Linked DNA regions of Mus musculus: all the other regions are reported to be linked to region 5. Evidence: microRNA targets listed by miRTarBase, many of them from high-throughput screens and not tested one by one. Region 5 holds a microRNA gene; each other region holds the end of a gene's coding sequence.

Region 1 (3,301 bases), not on the chromosome of region 5:
ATTCTTTTTGTTCTATGAGGAACTGAACCTAGGGCCTTCAATATTCTAGACAAGTACTGTATCACTGAGCCACACCCCCAGACCCTCACTGGGAGATTCTAGGCAGGGACTCTACCACTGAGCCACACCCTCAGCCCCTCACTGGGAGATTCTAGGCAGGTGTTGTATCCTGACCTACACTCTTTTAAAACATATCTGTGTATGGAATGGATCCCCCGGTGGGGCAGTCAACCACCAAACCCAGACACTATTGCATATACCAGCAAGATTTTGCTGACAGGACCCTGATATAGCTATCTCTTGTGAGTCTATGCCAGTGCCTGGCAAATACAGAAGTGGATGCTCACAATCATCTATTGGATGGAACACAGGGCCCCCAATGGAGGAGCTAGAGAAAGTATCCAAGGAGCTAAAGGGGTCGGCAACCCTATGGGAGGATCAACAAGATGAACTAACCAGTATCCCCACAAAACTGTGTCTCTAGTTGCATATGTACCAGAGGATGGCCTAGTCATCCTCAATGGGAGGAGAGGCCCTTGGTATTGCGAAGATCATATGCCCCAGTACAGGGGAATGCCAGGGCCATGAAGCGGGAGTGGGTGAGTTGGGGAGCAGGGTTGGGGGGAGGGTATAGGGGACTTTTGGGATAGCATTTGAAATGTAAATGAAGAAAATATCTAATAAAAATGAAAAAAAAGAAAGAAAAAATAAAAATTTTTAAAAAGTATCTGTGATTAAGTTTCCTAGGCAGATCTTAAACTTGAGATCCTCCTCCTCAGCTCCCAGGCTGGGATCCCAGGCCTTCTCTAGCTGCCCTGGTCCTGTGTTCCCCCTTAGCTGACTTTTAGAAGATACGGAGAAAAGCATTGCCAAACAGAAAATATCCAGGAGCACACTATGGGCAGAAAGGACAAAGCAAATCTTAATTTCTTTCTACCTAAACAAGTTTGCCCCTCACCCCAAAAAAAAAAAAAAAATCACACAGAAACAAAGAGGAAAAAAAAACACCCAGATGTAAGTGGGATCCACATTTTTAATCAGTTTCACTCTGGGTAGCCAGGGAAGGGAGACCTGATAGGCTAGTAAGAAGGAAAGAAGAGAACAGAGAAGCTAACATTAAATGAGGGGAACTCCTGACCTCCTCATTCTATGTCCATCTGCCTTATCAGCCTTGTGGCTTGGAAAGAAGGATTTGCAGGGGTGGGAGTGCAACAGGGTTTTATGTAGCCCAGGCTGGCCTCAAACTTGCATTGTAGCCTAGAATGACCTTGAACTCATTGTCCTTCTGCCTCTACCTCCCTCGTGTTGAAATCACAAGCATGTGCCATCACTCCTGGTTTATGAAATAGAATATGTCCATGGACTGGAGAGATGACTCAGCAATTAAGAACATTGACTGCTCTTCCAGAAGTCCTAGGTTCAATTTCCAGTAACTATGTGGTGGCTCACAACTATCTGTAATGAGATCCATGCCCTTTCCTGGTGTGTCTGGAGATAGCTAATGTGTACTCATATAAAATCTTTTTTAAAAAGAATATTGGGTGTACTGGCTGGTTTTGATAACACAAGCTAGAGTTATCACAGAGAAAGGAGCTTCAGTTGAGGAAATGCCTCCATGAGATCCGGCTATAAGGCATTTTCTCAATTAGTGATCAAGACGGGAGGGCCCCTTGTGGGTGGTGCCATCCCTGGGCTGGTAGTCTTGGGTTCTATAAGCAAACTGAGCAAGTCAGAGGAAGCAAGCCAGTAAGTAACATCCCTCCATGGCCTCTACATCAGCTCCTGCTTCCTGACCTGCTTGAGTTCCAGTTCTGCCTTCCTTTGGTGATGACCAACATTGTAAAAAGTATAAGCTAAATAAACCCTTTCCTCCCCAACTCGCTTCTTGATCATGATGTTTGTGCAGGAATAGAAAGGCATTGGACTAAGACTAACTAAGACATTAGACATACTCTATGGATTTCTAAAAGTCCTTTACCCAGGTATACCCATGAATAAGACTTCCAGCCTCTTGAGATTCAACTCCTATAGGCATCTGGAAGACTTCATCACTTGTGCCCCCTCAATCTAACCCTAGGAACCTCTGACGGGGGCATCTTGGGCTCTAGAACATTCTATTTATCTTTCAAGTCCTCCCCAATATCCACATCAAGCTTCTTTTGCATTTTGTTTTTATACAAGCCACAGCATCCCAGCTCAGTTTAGTGGTCATGTCTGTAACACACAGACAGACACATAAATCATATATACATTTAAATCATATATACATGTTCAAATGAATGATCCCCTAAACCTACCATGTAAACCTGATGTTTATTAACTTTAACTGTATACGTTTTCCAAATGAATTTGGAGGTCTCACTTTGTAGTCCAGGCTGGCCTCAAGTTCCCAGCAATCCTCCTGCCTCATCTTCTTTCATGCTGGGATTATGACCATTGAGTCAGTCAACACACCTGGCTCAGGGCACCCGGAGTTCTAAGCCAAACATTCTCCAAGTCATTTGCAAGACAGATTTCCTTTTTCTCCAGAGCAAGTTCTCAGCACCTTTACGGAAGACTGGGGAAAAGCATCAGATATGCACATCAGTCATGACCTGTACTGACTGCTGCTGGGCTGTCTTGAGAGAGGAAGGAGCCACTTTCATTGCTTGGGGTATGCTGTAAAGGGGCTAAGCTCTCTAAAGGAGCTGAGGGTAGGAAACACCTGAGGCTGAATGGTTCACAGCCTTTGGCAGGATTGCTACTTGCTGTTGCTTGCTGAGAGCTACTCTCCTGGAATCTAAGCTGGAGGAGACAGCTTGAGTCCAGAAAGAGTGATTCCGCTGGAAGGGGGGATATGAAGCCCCTTCTACAAGATCTGAAACTTCCAGGCACTCTGATCTTTGTAGTCCAGAGGGTCCATGGGATTGTAGGTAAATTTCCAGGTGCCTGTGGGGTCCTTGAATTCCAGGCTGTCCACAGGACTGTAGGTGCTATAGCTCTGGCCTGACAAGGAGGTGGGGGACTGGGCCAGGGATGGCCCCACAGAGGGGCCTGAGAGGGGGCTGAGAGCCGGACCCCCAAGTTGGGGCACCATGGGCGAAAGGTAGGGATCCAACCCACTGAAATAGGAACTTGGAGATGCATAAGCTGAAGGGGAAGAACAGAAAGCAGAAGCCGGGGCATAGGTCATGGCATAAGGGGCTGAGGTGAGAGAGGGCCCAGAAGCCACTAGGCCGGCTCTCTGGGCCTCAGGCAAAGGAGCCTCTGAGGCTGGACTCCAAATGGACACGGTGGCCACTGCTGTGGTAGGTGAACCTGA
Region 2 (3,301 bases), not on the chromosome of region 5:
TCCCACCCACAGGCTGGTGTAAAAGACACGGAAAACCGTGTGGCCCTCCACGCTCTGACACGACCTCCAGCCCTTCTCCTCCTGGCTGCAGCCAGCAGCGGACTGCGCTTCATCCTGGCCTCCTTCGCCCTGGCCCTCCTGCTGCCCGTGTTTCTGGCTGTAGCCGCTGTGAAGCTGGGTTTGCGAGCCCGATGGGGCTCTCTGCCTCCACCAGGCGGCCTGGGAGGGCCCTGGGTGGCTGTCCGTGGCTCCGGCGATGTGTGTGGAGTCCTGGCTCTGGCCCCTGGTGCCAACGTGGGGGATGGAGCCCGAGTCACCCGCCTCTCTGTCTCTCGATGGCACCGTCGCAGGGGCGTGGGCAGAAGGCTGCTGGCCTTTGCCGAGGCTCGAGCCCGAGCATGGGCTGGAAGTATGGGGGAGCCTCGGGCCCGGCTCGTGGTCCCAGTGGCTGTAGCCGCTTGGGGGGTGGCAGGGTTATTGGAGGCCTGTGGCTACCAGGCAGAGGGAGGCTGGGGCTGCATGGGCTATATGCTGGTTAGGGAATTCAGCAAAGACCTGTGATTAGAGACCATGCCCACTGGATAGATGGGCAGAGAACCAGCACCTAAAGAACACCTACTGTGTGCCAGGCACTTTACATCCCCCCCTCAGTGTCTACCTAGTCTGCTGGGCTGATAGTGAAGCACCGAGGTTGATGGACTTACATTCCCAGTGTGCCTGCCAGCTGCAATGAGGACTCTAAACTCAAGTAGAACAAATCCCTTCTTGGTCTTCTGGGACCACTAGAGGTCACCGTGTCCAGTCCTTTGCCTCACCCCCACTGCCCCAGTCTGTATGCACTGAAAAACGTCGGGTTCTGGGTCTACAAAGCCCCTGCTGCCTGTGTTTGAGGTCTGGAAGGGAGATTTGAGGAAAGAGAGAGAGAGAGAGAGAGAGAGAGAGAGAGAGAGAGAGAGAGAGAGAGAGAGAGAGAGAGAGAGACTAAAAGTTAGAGTCTGTGACAGGGAACTCCCAAAGGGGACAGATCTTCTGGGAGTGGGTGGGGCCAGGAGCACAGTGTCTCCAAGCCCATCTGGTTTTTTACACTGTTTGTTAATAAACCCTGAAACTTCTGTGTGCCTGTCTCCTGTCTGATGCATTTTCCAGCTGCTCTCTCCAGACTCCCTCCTTCTGTCTGGCTCCTCCTCTCCGAAGAAGTTGACATTAATTGCTAGGGAAGTGTGTGTGTTGGGGGGGGGGGGGGGGCGCTGGGAAGAGGAGAAGCAGTGAGCTCACAGCGGCAGCCAGTCTTTGCCAGGCCTTCTGAGTCATGCTCCCCATTACCAAAGTTTTCCCCCTCACAGCTGCCTGGTGTGTGTGTGTGTGTGTGTGTGTGTGTGTGTGTGTGTGTACCCCCTCCAGACCGAAGCCTTGACCCCTCAGTCTCTCTACCCTCCATACCTTTGTTCTGGGAACTGGTAATAAGTTCAGACACTCTTTTCTCGAATCGGCACTGGGAGCTTCCCATCCAGATTTACCACAGTGGGTGACAAATGGACAGGAGTTTTTCAGTTTCTTTTCCTGATCTAGGAAGTCCCTCCTAGTATCTGGCTTCAGGCCCTCATGCTACTGCAGGATTCCCCAAAATCTGTCCACTCCCAGCTGCACTTACTTGCCTGGCTGGACAATAAGAGGAGGCAGAAGGGTGTGCCCTCAGCCCTGTCCCCCAGACACCCAGGCCTGCCCCTTCCCAGAGCTGCCATCCCCATAAGCATCTCTGAGCACGTGGCCCTCTGGAGCCTGGCTGGCCGCCTCCCTCCAGTGTGGGTGTTTGCACTTGAACACCTCCCTTCTGCCTGCCCCCCGCACCCCCCCCTCCAGCCTCAGCTGTGGCCAGCCCCCTCCCCCTCCTGTCCCCTGCTGCATCCCTGCAGCCTCTCTCCCTCCTGGCAGAGCCTTCAGCCCAGCCTGCTCCTAGCTGTCCAGGGCTCCTCAGCAGCTGCTTCCCTCCCTGGCTGCCTCCTCCTCCCCTCTCCTGCCCTCCTTCCCCTTTCACCCCATCCCCTGCCCCTGGACTCTGCGAACATGAGGGGCTTGGCCTGCCTCCTTGGTGAGTGATCCATTTCCTTGGGGGGGGGGGTAAGCACCTTAGGGGCCTGGACCCTTACCTCTGACCCAGTTAGCTTCTCCAGTTTAGGGGCTCATACTTGAGGGAGCCTGTTCTGGTCCCTGGTGCAGTGTGATATCCTGACATCTGGCTGGCCCCTCTAATCCCTGAGGGACCCAGCCTTCTGCACGTCCTGCCTAGCAGCTCAAGTGACCTGCCCTTTGTTGCCCTGTCATGTACTCTGTAGCGCTATCACTCCCACCATTCAATCTGGTCCCCAGTCCTGTTTTCAAGGGTCAGGCATCTGGGGCCCCACCCACCCCAGGGACCTGTAACTTATCCCAGCCTCCTCCCAAAGTCCATTCCAGCAGTGGGGTTTCTGACTCAGAGGTGTGAGGAATCTGACTGTGAATGGGTGCTTCCCACTGTACTGAGGCTGGGAGCCTGCACTGGGGAAAGGACCCCTCCCCTCTGATTTATCCTTCACTCTGTCCCCTCCAACCTCCTTTGCAGCAATGCTGGTGGGGATCCAGGCTATAGGTAAGTGTCCTGATTCTACACTTGGCCTCACCCCGCTCCAACTCCCCCCCTCTCCTTCTGGTCTCTGCTACCCCAATTCCACTCCCCAGACATTGCTGCCATCCAACAGGGACAATGAGTCTTCTCTAGAGTTAGCTGCACGCTGACCTATGGGAGAGGACCAAAGTTATGAGGCCAGTGATGGGGAGAGGAGTGGAAAGGTTATTTGACCCCCTTGTGGGGCAGAAGGACCGGGGATGCCTGAATTCCCTGGTTCACAGTGTCCTTCCACACAGCCCCCAGCATCTCTGAGACATTCCTCTCATTGCACCTGGGAGTCTGGGACCAGGGTCCAGCCTCCAGGGTAGCTGGCTTCCTGGTGGTAGCTTGTAAGGTAGTCCCCCTGCCTTGGTGTTACCGTAGACCCCCAGCCAACAGTACTCCTGTGTGGGGTCACAGCTTTTCCTTCATCCCTCAGAGCGACTCCGCCTGGCTGATGGTCCTCATGGCTGCGCAGGACGCCTGGAGGTCTGGCACAGCGGGCGCTGGGGCACCGTGTGTGATGACGGATGGGACCTTCGGGATGCTGAAGTGGCCTGCCGTGTGTTAGGCTGCGGAGGGGCGCTGGCAGCCCCTGGGGGTGCCTTCTTCGGGGAGGGCACTGGGCCTGTATGGCTCAGTGAACTGAACTGTCGG
Region 3 (3,301 bases), not on the chromosome of region 5:
CCCTATTTTCAAAGCTTGGTTTGTAATAAAGCTTTTAGGTTTTTTTTTTTTCCCCCTCAAAGCTAATAGTATTCTCTGATGATTTTATTGCTGTCACACTGCATAGGACATTTAGAAAAAAAACTCTTCACCACTCCCCTTTCTCGTACTTAAATTTAAGTTTATGGTTACTGCAGAAAGCTTTTTTCCAAGATGGTACTTTTTTAAATAAAAGGGTCAGTCTCAGTTGTAAGGAGACTATACTCTACTCTATATCCAAACCATTCCAGGTTTGGGAGGGTGGGATGCATGAAGAAAGTAACCTGCTCTTAGCAAAAGGGAGAACAGTCAGTGATGGACCATCCCACTGTGGAAGCAGCCCAAGCCCCACGCATCTTTGTGGAATTCCCGAGTTGCACCTGTCCCTGTGGAAGGCAAGCCCGGATCTTCCTGAAACCTCTCTACTACCGGTACCCACAATACAAACTCCAGAGGAACGGCCTTTGTGAGCTCAAAGTATGAGCAGCCAGGTCTGCCCAGGGACCAAGACCAAGGGGAGAAGGGTGATAAACAGAGATACAGGGGCAAGAAGAAAAAAAAAATAAGAGGGAGAGAAACAGAGAATGAATTCTCCTTTAGAGGAGGGGAGGAAAAACAGAAAGAAAAGATTCCATAGTGCCCTAAAGTCCCCACACGTGCACGGAATGTCTAATCTTAACTTTTCAAGGCAGGATGTTAACAAAGCTTGTATTTTTGCCCCTGCATTGTAACTTGGCCTTATCACAGTGTAAAGGGTGGGGGAGATTGTCCTAAATTATGTCCAGGCAGCCCCCCTGGATCCGTGGATTAAGAGATTAAAGGAGACCACTGGGCAAGGCCTCCTCTTTTCCCTTCATATTCCTGGTATGATAATTGCTTAAACTGATTTGCACTTTCACAAAAGCTCACAGGACGCTTTGTAGCTCGAACAGAACAGACGAGGTTTCTCTATCAATGGAAATAAAACTGATTAATGCAGCCTATCGGGATAGGAAGCAAATGAAGCATGCAAAAAACAACCTCATACCCTCGGCAGGGGGAGGACAGGGAAAGAGCGAAGTTTTCTTTGAGAATGGTTACAACTTTTACTTTAATGTTAAAATTAAGAGTGGAAGATCTCTCAGAATGCTTGCCTTATAAGGCTTCGGGGGCCTTTGGGTTCATCTCCCTCACTTTATGCAGATTAGAGTGAAAGAGAGAGGAAAGGAGAAAAGAAAAGAGAGAAGAGGAGGCTGACTTGTCCTGAAGGGGTTTGAAGTCAGAAATGAAGTTAGAAGCCCCAGACCTCGGGTTCTAAGAATATTCTCCAGGCCAAAACTAGGTTCTAAACTTTACAAAGAAAAGGAAATCAGAAGTAAAGTGAAGGGTTTTTTTTTGTTTTGTTTTGTTTGTTTGTTTGTTTTAGTTTTTTAGCCTGGAGTTGAAACTAAAATCCTTCAGCAAAGTTGCTTGGACAGCTTCTCTCCTCTTCCTCTTCTGAAAGAGTTTGGCTGTCTTAAGCATCTCCCTTCACATCTCTTTAAAATACAAGCCCTCAAAAGCCACCAGTCTGGCTCTTTTGTGGGCGGGGAGTCAGGGTCTCTGGAGCCTAGCTGGAGAAGGCCCACATTCGAATTAAAGAGTTACTTTTGTAAAGATCCACTTCAGTTTCCCAAGACAACTACTCTGAGGGCATATTGATAAATCTTTATTGACAAAATATTGACATTGACATACTTCTTGGAAGTATATAGTGTGTTAGAATTCTAACAAATTAACACAAAACACAAAAATATTTACAATCTGGTATAGAAGACACTAAGGAAGCATTTGTAACCCTCTTTAGTAAGTCTATGGTCTTGGAAGAGAAACTCAGTGCTTGAAAACTCCCATGTCCTTGGCCACGCCACCATCACCCCATTAAATACAGTCCTTCCTTCCACTTTTGCAATAGACAGACTTAAAAGTTCTGAATGGCCATTATGATGAGTGGCTGGATGCAGTCAATCTCTCCAACCACTAAAAGGAAAAGTTGACTTGGTGATTTAAAGTATCAGAATGTTAGGAAAGGAAATATCCAAGAAATAGAATTAATTTGGGTCTTTTATCGTGGGTTGTTTTTACCCCTAGCATGAGTCCTGATTCTTCTCAGGGGCACCCTCCCCCGCCCTCCATCCCAGTCCTGCTCCCTCATTTCTCTGTCAGAGGACCACTATCTCCGAGCCTACTTCGTTTAGCTTTCACAATCACTTTGACAATAGAAGGTATCAAAAAAGTGTTTTTACAGACTGAACATTTCTCAGAAAAAAAATAAAAAATAAAAATACACAGAACCTGTCTTTAAAAGAGGAATAAAATTACAATTCAGTTTTTAGACACCATTCGCCCGACAACTGCTACATGCAATTCAAGTTTTGAAACAGGTGTAGGATGGGGCTAGACATGGAATTTTGTATGTTATTTCTAATTAAAGATGAGGGGGAAACACTGTGAAGTGCAAAATTAAAAGTCCTGTGCCTTTTTTTTTCCAAAAAAAAAAATCATTATCATTTCTAAATGGACTTCGATAAGCGGAATACCCGCCAATCATCTTGTTTCCCTGGTTTGGCATTTGACTGACAGCTCCCCTTGTCAGAATGTGCCTTTGCCTCACAAGGATCATTCATTCTCTCTCTCTCTCTCTCTCATTCCTCTCTCTCCCTCCCAGTCTCTGTCTCTCTCACTCACTCAGCTGCCTCTTTAGACGAGGGTTGCATGTTGATGATCGGGCCTCCGTCCTCTGCTGTCCTGTAAGCGGTGCCCGGCCCGGCGCCGGTTCCCGGTCCAGTGCCCTCGCTGTCCAAAGTCTGCTGCGAGCGTCACTGCTCTGATTCCCTCTCTCCCTTTCTCGGTGGATGTGTGTGCAGTTTGTTTTTGTTTTGTAGGGTTTTTCTTCCCCTCCTCTCCCTGTCTTTCTTGCTCTGTGCTGTCCATTTTTGTAGGATTGGGTTTGGACTTTTAATCGTCTGAGGTCACATCTATTTCCTCCGGACTCGCCTGCTTGGTAGCAATTCTCCACCGGTTAATGTGGTGTGTCCCTTTTTTCTTCTGTTGAGAATCTGAGCCTTCTTCCTCTAGCTTTTGCCTTTTGAATTTCGTTCTCCGGTTCTGAAACCATACTTTTACCTGTGGGGAGAGACAAGTGGGCATCTTTAGATCCTTCTTAGTGCCTTCCTATCATATACCAGAGGCCTGTCACAGCCCAGGGCTGACCCCAGACCCCCAGACATACATCCTTAGGGCTGACCACTTTCTTCTCCTTCCC
Region 4 (3,301 bases), not on the chromosome of region 5:
TTTGGCAGTGGAACAGCCATCTAGTCAAGGTATTACACATGCTGGGTAGGCAAGCGCCCCACCACGGAGCTCCAGTCCACCCTTCAAACCGTTTCTTTCCTTTAGATGCCTTACAGGTAATTCCCATGACTGCACTTCATTATGGGGTCATTCTTTAGAATAGTTATGTGGTGGACTGGCTGGATTTGTGTGTCAGTTGACACAGCTGCAGTTATCACTGAGAAGGGAGCTTCAGTTGGGGAAATGCCTCCACGAGATCCAGCTGTAAGGCATTTTCTCAATTAGTGGTCAAGGGTGGAGGGTCCATTGTGGGTGGTGCCATCTCTGGGCTGGTAGTCTTGGGTTCTATAAGAGAGCAGGCTGAGCAAGCCAGTGGAAAGCAAGCCAGTAAGGAAGATCTCTCAATGGCCTCTGCATCAGCTCCTGCTTCCTGACCTGTGTGAGTTCAGTCCTGACTTCCTTTGGTGATGAACAGCAGTATGGAAGTGTAAGCTGAATAAACCCTTTCCTCCCCAACTTGCTTCTTGGTCACGATGTTTGTGCAGGAATAGAACCCTTACTAAGACAGGTGGCATAGTACAGATGTTCTACAACTTATTTAGTAGGTCCTCAACTTGTGAACATCCATTCGGACATACCCAGGCACAGTTCTGTGGAAGAGACGTGGGACAGGCCGCTACCTCTGTATTCAGCACATCTGTCTTCGAGCCCTTTATACAAGGGTCTTGCCTTTTCTGTTTCAATTCACTGTAATGTTACTGGTATAGTTCTCTGAACAGAACCTCTGAACTGTCCGAGTGGCAGATGAAGGTAGTAAGACTGGATTTCACCACTCGTTTCAATGTCTGGCACAGGTTTGACACTTGGTGTGTGTTGAATTGATAAGGACAAAATAACTAGACAAGAATAAAATGAAAGGTTAGGATCTCAAACTTCCTACAGTTAGAAACCAGGTCTTTGTGGGTTAGTGCATCAACATTCTATGTTTTGTACTTCAGATCTAGAAGGGAATTGATTTTTTTTCCTATGGCAAAGTGGCAAAATAAATGCAAAATCTTGCTTTGCTTGAAGTCTTCTCAAGGACTTTCACAAATGAAGGGAGAAAGAAACCATAACACTGAAAACTAAACAGCAACCTGGAAGATTAAATAAGCAAGCTGAAAGCACATTTGTATTCATTTGGGTTATAAAGTTGAAATACATGCCAAATCCAGTTTCTATTGCTACCCCCTCTCTGGAGGATCCCTGTTGGGCAGGCAGCTGGCCAGGTGAGGGAGTGACTTCATCTTTGCCGAGCCTTGGCATGGAGCGTTTCTTCTAGGTAGTTCGGGGAACATAGTAACGTCCAGAGGTGACATGAAGCAGTCTAATGGCAAAGACCCTGGGAATGAGCAGACCGAGGAAGAAATGGAAGTGAGTCTGACTCCCACAGAACACTGCACACAATAGTACAAGGCTTCCACACAGTTCAAGAAGAGCAGAGCTGGGAATGAATTTATGAGCACGGTGAAAGAGAAAGTTTTGTTTGACTACTGCTAAGAATGAAGTTTCCAAGCACTTTCCTAGCATTTCCAGAACCACACAGTCCCAGAGCCTGAGCTGCAGTACTCAGGAGATGCTGCAAGTGTGCGTGCTTTGCTCCGTCTTTGGGGACAGCGAGCTGAGAACTGACACCAGGGTCGGGCAGAGGAAGAAAATGTTGTATAACTGCCTCACATCCACCTCCTTACGATTTGTTTTCATTTTGAAATAGGGGCTCCCGAAGTTGCCCTGGCTGGCCTAGAACTTGGGATCCTCCTAGCCCAGCTTTTGGAGTAGTTGAGGTCACAGGCATAAACCTTCTTGCTTCACTTCTGTCTCTGGCTTCGAGCCCACAGTAACAGTTCCACACTCAAGAGGAAATGGTAGAAAACGACCACTTTCCTCTTTCCTTTATCATAAGTAAAAACAAAGTTAAACATTTTTATTTGGACACTTACTTCCCGCACCATTCCTGGCACATCACATAATTCCAAGTTGATGAATATGAAAAAAGTATCTCTGATGCATTATAGAAAGGCACACAACAGAAACTTGTGTGCTTTAGAAATGTTTCCTCTCTGCACAGAGAAGGAGGCCTGACCTGGAAGCCAGGCCAACTTTCACAAAACAAGCCTGGATGTTGCGAAGGACAATGTAAAATAAGACCGTATTTTCATTATTATTTGGGAGAAGAACAGTAGAGATATTTACATTAATCAGCTTTCTAATGGACACTAGCCAAGCACAATTAATGCTACAGTGAAAACTGGGTATCCCGGGCATCATCTGAAAGCAGAATGGTTTTAGACCATGTCACAAATGATATAGTGGCTCAGCTAACACCAGACCTTGCCTTCAGGGTTATGTGGCTGACCTTGCTCCAGAATGTTGAGCTTTCACAGGTCTGTGAGCCACTAATGACAGAACAGGCACTTGGCCTGCTTTTGAAAAGGTTTCTATGTTTGTTTGTTTTAAGACAGGCTCACTATGTATGTATAGTCTTGGCTAGCCTGGATCTCACTTTGTAGACCAGACTGGCCTTGAACTTACAGAGATCAACCTGTCTCTGCTCCCCATATGCTGAGATTAAAGCTATACATCACCATTCCCAACCTTCCTTTCTAATAGTAAGGGCACAGCGAAGAGCAAGTGAGACTGTTGGTTCATATGAGAAGTCAGACATCAAAGGGATAAGGCTATTGTGTCCCTCTTTAACATTCAGTACCTACACTCACCTCAAGCCTTCCTTTCAGGTGTCTGTCTACCGGCATCCTTTGAAGTTTGTTTTTGATGCTGTAGATGGAGGCTCTCTAGCTTCTGCAAGTCTTCTGTAAGGCCGTTTCTAAGATCTGTGTTGCTTCCCAGAAAACCTTTCACCACATCCAGTTGATTTGAGATCTGTAAGAGGAAAGTGTACAAAATGCTGCTTAGGATAATTACTGTAACAGAATTCAATTAAAATGGAACAGTGTAATCTCAAGATTGGTTCCCAGGGCTGCAGGAGAAGCTCGGCAGCAGGAGCACACTTGGCATGTGCAAGGTACTGCCTTCCAGCTTCACTCTTGCCCTAAACCACCTGTTCTGTTTATATGCCTACTACAAGACAGAAATGCGGACTACTGGCAAGCATCTACACAGAGGTTGAGTGGATGGCATTGTGAAGAAATACTGAACCAAGCACACACACACACACACACACACACACACACACACACACAAAAGGTACACTTAGCCAGGCATGGTTTTCACACCTCTTAAAGTCAGCAGTTTGAAAGCTGAG
Region 5 (3,301 bases):
TTTTTAAAAAACACATCTAGTTACAGAAACACTTAACATCCACGAATGAACTGCACTGTCCAAAAAGTTTTAAGACAATTTAAGAAAACTAAACTTATAGTTCAGCAGCATTTCTACCAACATTGAGAAAAAATAGTTTAAATTTGAAATGATTACGACTATAAATCAAGCTTTAAAAAGATTTTTACAGACATTAGTTCATTAAATCTCCATTGAAACCTTGCTTTGAGTATATTAGAGGCATTCCCAAGATGACATAAAGAGTGTTGAGACACACATTTAAAATCAGTTAGTCTAATTCCTGGTGCCGAACCCAGCATTTCATTCACTTCTAACACTTTGTCTTTGCCAATTCACTGCAAGTTGGCCATGTCATGGAAATGGAGGGCATAATTCCAAAGAGAGCACAGTTTCCTGGCAGGAAGCTTTAAATAGATCAGGTGACACATGAGTTATGTAACACTTTTAAATGACTACATTTGGATCTAATACAAAGTCCAATGAAATGGACTAATAAGGAGACATAGCCATCACTTTTTAAGGGCACACTGAAAATACCTAGCATAATAGTTATTCATCTTTATACAATTAATTGAGATTAATGATGTAGATAATCAATGGTCACATATATACATATATATAATTTCTTAAATAAACTGTAAGTTATTCATTGGTGTTCTAGGTATAGCCTTTTAGGAAGAAATAGCACTGAGGAGAACACCCATCCTTTAATAGAAAACTTGGCCATGTTGATCTGGATGTATATCAGACTGACCAGAGAGCAGCAGCATTACCACGACTTAGGAGGGGACGTTTGGCATTTCTATTCAGATGTCGACGAGTGTCAGAGAGTCAGAGCCAGCTTGAACAGGCATATCAAATCCCAGAGAACTGGCAAGTGCTAAAAAGAATTACAGTGTGTTGATTATGCCTTCTGGAAAATTAAGTGTCAGATTCTTAGAAGCAGAGAAAATATATGAAGTCTGCTTGAAATATAAACCTTAATATAAGTCCCTACAAAAGCTAGCAGAAAAGCCAAGTCAGAAGTAATGCTATATCCTTCTAGAGTAATAGAGAGATCTTATAGTCAGCTTCATTAAAAATAAATCATCAAATTGTTAGTTTAAGTTTTGAGTTTATTTATTTTTGCTAAAGCTGAAGGAGGTGGGCGACCCTATAGGAGGACTAGAAGTCTCAATTAACCTAGACCCCTGAAATCTCTCAGACACTGGATCACCAACCAGACAGCATGTACCAGCATATATCGGTTGAGATGAGGCCCTCCCAACCCATATACAGCAGAGGACTGCCTGGTCTGGGTTCAGCTAGAGAAGATGCACATAACCCTCAAAAGACTGGAGGTCCCAGAGAGTTTATAGGAATTATGGGGTGGGATGGTGGTAACATACTGATGGAGACAATGGGTGGGGAGGAGAAATAGGATGGGAGACAGTCAGAGGGTGGACCAGGAGGGGAATAAAATCTGGAGTGTAAACAAACAAAGAAAAAAATAAAATTTTAAAAAGAGCTGAAGGAAACTCTAATTGATTCAAATAAGAATATAGAATTATTTGATACAACAATTTGAACACAAAGCTGTTCCTCAAATGAGGTTTTCAGTTTATATATTTGTAATTTAATAGAAAATGACATATTTTCATTTAGGCAGGGTTACTAATCCATCCATACAGATTTTACCAACATTTTAAAATAGAAAGTTATTTTAGGTATTAACTACACCCTGTGTCAATACAATGTTTTGGCACATTTGAGTACCTAATAGAAGTTGTTTCTGAAATTCCCAAATTCTTCTTGAATTTACAAGAAATGCTCAATTATATTGGACATTATATTATGTCTACTGTATTGTATAATTTAGGCTCCAAAATCAGAAGAATAAATTCAAATTGGAACTTATATTCATAGAAGCATGTGGCTGTCTTCCTAATTTAGAGCTTCATTTGGATAAAATCTGCTTTTATTCCTCTAGAATCCTTTTATTGCATAAAAATTGGAAACATTTCTTCCAGATGCCAACTATTTTATGTGCCTGATCCCCCCCCAATCGCCCCCATTTTGCTTACTCTTGACTTCCAATGTTACTCTTTAAACTTTAAATGTATTTCTATTGATAACAGGAGCTTTTAATTTTCTGTTTTAATTTTACACAGGTGTATCACAGGTGGTACGCCCTTTCCTCTCTGCCCCATAGGGTGTAGCTCTAACTACCCTCTAGGGAAGAGAAGGTTGGGTGAACAGCCTTACTATTTCTACAACTCAGTAATTATCTGCAAACACATTCTTTTCACTGTCTGGGTGTGCTAAGATTAACATATGCAGAACATGCTGTATAATGGTCCATCTTCCTCACTACAGTCCAATTGCAAAATCTAATTCAAGGTGCCAAAACAATTAATATTCAAATTCAAGTCTTTATTTTTTGTAAACTTGATTTTAAAATGTTCATGTTTGGTTGTAATGGTTTCAAATATGATGTCCCTGACATAGCTTTACTCCTTAGTATTTGGCAACTTTCACTGAGAAGACATGAACAAATGTCTCTTAACCAGTAGAGTACTTGACAGACAGGTAAAGATCCTTATATCCAAGTCTACCTTAGTGACCGAATGAGTTCATTGTGGTTGTATACAGGGGCTTCGATGACTCAAAGTCAACAACATTTCTGAAACGTTCACACTAGCATGGGTGAGAACTTATGAACTTCTCATTCCAGGAAGTTCCGTGTAGAGCTTGCTTAGAGCTATACTGCAGAGAAACATTTTGCCTCAGCAAATTTACTGTGTCTTTCTGATATTGAGGAAGAGATGTTATGAATCTTGAAACTTTCTGATCATTCACAGCTGCGCAAGTTTCTCTGTCTTCCTGAGCCTATTACTGTCTAAAAAAAGAATATTTTAATTCAGATGAAATTACTATCTACCTAAAGCTTAGTGATACGTGTGTGCGGGTGAGAGATTTTAATACAGATTCTCACAATCGGCACAAAGTTACTTCTTCATAAATATTTATAGGTTTATCAGTCTGACTTTTGGGTTAGGAATGCTTTTATTTTCATAAACAAGTCACCTTAAAGTAATAAACCATAACCCAAGGATATCTCACTCTCTCTTATTTTCACATCAGTTTGATGACTGTTGGGTACTCATTTCAGTTTCCAATCATCGGTGCTGACTTTTGTCTTTGAAACTACTGGATTTCATAACAGAGATTTAGAAGAATTGAGGTGTGCTATGAGAGAATGACTGGAAGAGATTGGAACAGATTCTGTTTCTTCTTGAAG
Region 6 (3,301 bases), not on the chromosome of region 5:
GTGTCCTCTACACTGTGCCGGCCACCATCGTCATCGCCTGCTACTTCTATGAACAGGCCTTTCGGGACCAGTGGGAGCGCAGCTGGGTGGCCCAGAGCTGCAAGAGTTATGCCATCCCTTGCCCTCACCTCCAGGGAGGTGGAGGAGTCCCACCACACCCGCCCATGAGCCCAGACTTTACAGTCTTCATGATCAAGTATCTCATGACGCTGATTGTGGGCATCACATCGGGCTTCTGGATCTGGTCCGGCAAGACACTGAATTCCTGGAGGAAGTTCTACACGAGGCTTACCAACAGCAAACAGGGGGAGACTACCGTCTGAAACCCAGACTCTTACCTTACCCTTTTTTGGCCTGATCCTAGCCATCGCCTGGAAGCTGGCCCCAAGGAATTCCTGCCAAGCCTGGCCACTCCAGGCTTCCTCGCCAGCCACTGACTTTTGCAGGCCCCTTTCCCAACAAACAGCACAGGTTCTGCAAAAGCTTCCGTCCCTGGGGTAAAGGAACGAGAGGGCCCAACTGATCGAGGTGTATGTGTATGTGCGTGTGGACCGATCTCTCTAGCCCTCTCTGATACCAGGATTGTACGCTTTTATGATTGTAAATAGCCTGTGTAAGATTTTTGTACGTATATTTGTATTTAAAGACTATCGAACACGCAGTTTTTTTTTCTTTTTAAAAATGTTTAATTATTTAGGGCAATTTACGTATTTGGAGCTTTTCTCACTTGCCCTTTTCTGCAGATTGCAGAGGAGGTAAAACAGAGCACACTTGACTAAGTGCTTTGCCCTGTGCCCTCATCTTTGTCAAGGGAGCATGGGCCTGCCTCTCCAGGGTCATTTCCTTCAGCATCTCCCGCCCCTCCCCTTCCTTGCTTGCAGTGGGAAATTTTAAGGTGCAGAACTCTGTAAAGCTTCCAGATCCCGAGGTGGGCCCCGCCCATTCCAGATCCTCCCCTTTTCAGCGGTAGAGTGTGGATGGCTGTCCCTGTGACTTCCTGATGCTGCTTATTTGAGATCCACCTTCCAGCTTTATTAGAGGACCCCAGTATGGGCTCTGCCAGTTGACCCAGCCTCCCTGTACCCCGGTGTCCCTTGCCCAGTGTCTTTCTCCTTGCACCTAAGTTGTTCAGAGGGAGTGCAGTAACCGACCGATAGCGAACTTTGGAGAGTCTGACTTTTTATGGATGAGCTCATTTTTACTCTCTAGTATCTGGAACTTGCTCTGGGTCTGGTCATCATCATGGAAAGAGCAGCAAGCTTTGTGGGTTGGGAGAGGCTAAAGAGAGAGGTTATAAAACATTAGTTCTAATTGCATTCTGATGTCTGGCAACCTACTTTCTTCCCCCTGTGATGCTGCCTGCTTCTAGATTTTACCCTTCTATGAAATGCAGACCTCGAGGTTGCCTGGGAAGCTTGGTGAAGGAATGGTTTACCTTCCTTAACAGGATAGTAGAACATACACAGAGTATGGAAACCTAAGGAGATTTCAGTGAAGTGGAGTTACTCCAAGTGAAACGCTGTTTTCTGGTTTTAGCCAAACTGCAATTAGATGTGTCTTTGCAATCTAAAAGTTGTACACAATCAACAATACACTTTGCTTACTCCTCAGCAGCACATTCTGAGGGAGAAACAGTCACACCCCCGCAGAAAGCCTGGTTGGACTTCCGAAGACAGAGGCGGTGGACTGACGGATGGGTGAGAGAGACAAACACGACCTAGGCATGCATGCTGAAGGGGAAGTGTGTCCATTCCTACTGCATCCCATCTTGTGTGCTCCTGTCTGGATTTACGGCAGTGTGTCAAATGTAAATCTCTCAAAGCCATTTAAAAATACTCACTTTAGTTATGGATGAAGAAGAGGAGAAAAGCAGTCCTCCTGATTGTAGTGTTTAAACCTTAAGAGTTTATCACAAATGCCGATACATACATAGGACCTAAATTTATCTATGTCTGTCATACCCTAAAATGACATTGGTTTTTGGATTTGGTATGCATTATTATTGTTATTATTGTTATTATTATTCTCACCACCATGAGATCATCTATATTTATAGAGGAATAGAAGTTTATATATATAAAATGCCATATTTTTAATTTCGCAAATAAAAAAATGAAAGTTTTGTACAAAATTACATTTTTCTGTGTGTGCCTGAAAACAATCGTCCTATCTGAACTGCCTTTACATTTTACAATGCCTCACAACCAGTCCACAATATACAAAGCTAAAAGATTCAATGGAAAAATCCACCCTTGCAAAGTGCAACCAGCCTGCCTTCTGAATGGCATGTGTAGAGTCCCATGCCAAGGCTGTTTTCATGGTAGCAGAAAATAGAATATTTTCAAACAATATTATTTTTAAAGTCTAACTCTAATTTTAACACTGAGGCTTTTTTCTTTCTTTCAGGGAATACATTTACATGACTTTTATTTGACAGAGGTTTATCTTTCAGTTGGGTGCCTTTGTGATGTTCTATGAGGTATTGTCTTGTTTTTTTCCATTACCGTGCACATCCGAAAACCCATAAACAGGCAATCAGTATGTGGTCACGGACTCTGTTTATAAGCATCTAAGATGGCAGTAGGCTGTGGAAGCGTTTTGTTGTTGTTGTTTACTTCTGAAGATTCCATCTGTATTGTTCAGAGAACCTTTCACAGAGGAATTTCCTATGTGACCTCAGAATTGATATGCGTGCATGTACATATACCTGTACACATGCATGTGACTATATATACAGCAAAATAGAAATAACAATTTACATTTTATAATATGGGAATAATATGAGAAATAGAACCCTATTAGAAAACTTCAAATATCTGGAGATTTAAAATATTTTTATTATATTTTTCATTACTTTCTAAAATCAAAAGACAAAGGGCTAAAGAGAATCCATTAATGCACCAGAGTGGCTTTTATGGTTATCAGGAAATTGTGTTATAAGTCTTAATTCATTTAAGATATTAAACATTTTAATTTAATGGAAAATACACATTTAAAGTTGGAAGAAACAATTTTTGGTTGTTACATTAATAGAAAAGATGGCATTTGAGAAGCTTTTATATAGAGATAGACATGAAAAAAAAACAGTAATTCTTTAACCAAATGAGAACATGTCTCATTAGGTAATTATGTAACTTGTGGGAGAAATATTTATGACAATTAATTAGTTTCTGTTCCAGGAATAAATGTAAACAAAACAACAACAAACAAACCAGCCTTATTGTGGGTGTCCTTAAAATGATGCAGATGTGAATTTGACACAGAAAGGTTTTATAGTCTCTCTATACTAAAATATCACTCA

Evidence for each region. The annotated mature microRNA mmu-miR-3059-5p reads UUUCCUCUCUGCCCCAUAGGGU and lies in region 5 at 2,194-2,215, shown strand. An mRNA with a match to its seed (bases 2 to 7 or 8) in the 3' UTR can be bound and repressed. Matches are read on the target gene's strand: a 7mer-m8 pairs with bases 2 to 8, a 7mer-A1 pairs with bases 2 to 7 and ends in A, and an 8mer does both.
Region 1: the mRNA of Crx is a reported target of mmu-miR-3059-5p. Seed matches in the 3' UTR shown: 7mer-A1 at 1,866-1,872.
Region 2: miRTarBase lists Nat14 as a target of mmu-miR-3059-5p. Seed matches in the 3' UTR shown: 7mer-A1 at 909-915.
Region 3: the mRNA of Emx2 is a reported target of mmu-miR-3059-5p. Seed matches in the 3' UTR shown: 7mer-m8 at 2,685-2,691.
Region 4: miRTarBase lists 1810030O07Rik as a target of mmu-miR-3059-5p. Seed matches in the 3' UTR shown: 7mer-A1 at 505-511.
Region 6: the mRNA of Fzd1 is a reported target of mmu-miR-3059-5p. Seed matches in the 3' UTR shown: 7mer-m8 at 2,055-2,061.

Annotation. Positions count from the first base shown.
Region 1 is chr7:15,864,932-15,868,232 of GRCm38, forward strand. It overlaps Crx (cone-rod homeobox), which reads right to left. Exons shown (of 4, transcript NM_007770.4): 4 at 1,016-3,301. The coding sequence ends at 2,849. Among named protein-coding and RNA genes, the nearest start is that of Crx, 13 kb to the right of the region's middle.
Region 2 is chr7:4,923,891-4,927,191 of GRCm38, forward strand. Nat14 (N-acetyltransferase 14) reads left to right here. Exons shown (of 3, transcript NM_001358881.1): 3 at 13-1,116. The coding sequence ends at 561. Ssc5d (scavenger receptor cysteine rich family, 5 domains) reads left to right here and starts at 1,931. Exons shown (of 14, transcript NM_173008.3): 1 at 1,931-2,089; 2 at 2,600-2,626; 3 at 3,084-3,301. The coding sequence starts at 2,065.
Region 3 is chr19:59,463,741-59,467,041 of GRCm38, reverse strand. It overlaps Emx2 (empty spiracles homeobox 2), which reads right to left. Exons shown (of 3, transcript NM_010132.2): 3 at 1,685-3,162. The coding sequence ends at 2,995. Among named protein-coding and RNA genes, the nearest start is that of Emx2, 6.7 kb to the right of the region's middle.
Region 4 is chrX:12,655,106-12,658,406 of GRCm38, forward strand. 1810030O07Rik (RIKEN cDNA 1810030O07 gene) reads right to left here. Exons shown (of 7, transcript NM_175141.6): 6 at 2,757-2,919; 7 at 1-1,381. The coding sequence ends at 2,758. Among named protein-coding and RNA genes, the nearest start is that of Gm4984, 4.5 kb to the left of the region's middle.
Region 5 is chr10:101,770,511-101,773,811 of GRCm38, forward strand. It overlaps Mir3059 (microRNA 3059), which reads left to right and starts at 2,182; the gene lies at 2,182-2,262. It also overlaps a transcript of Mgat4c not described here.
Region 6 is chr5:4,752,674-4,755,974 of GRCm38, reverse strand. It overlaps Fzd1 (frizzled class receptor 1), which reads left to right. Exons shown (of 1, transcript NM_021457.3): 1 at 1-2,136. The coding sequence ends at 323. Among named protein-coding and RNA genes, the nearest start is that of Fzd1, 3.9 kb to the left of the region's middle.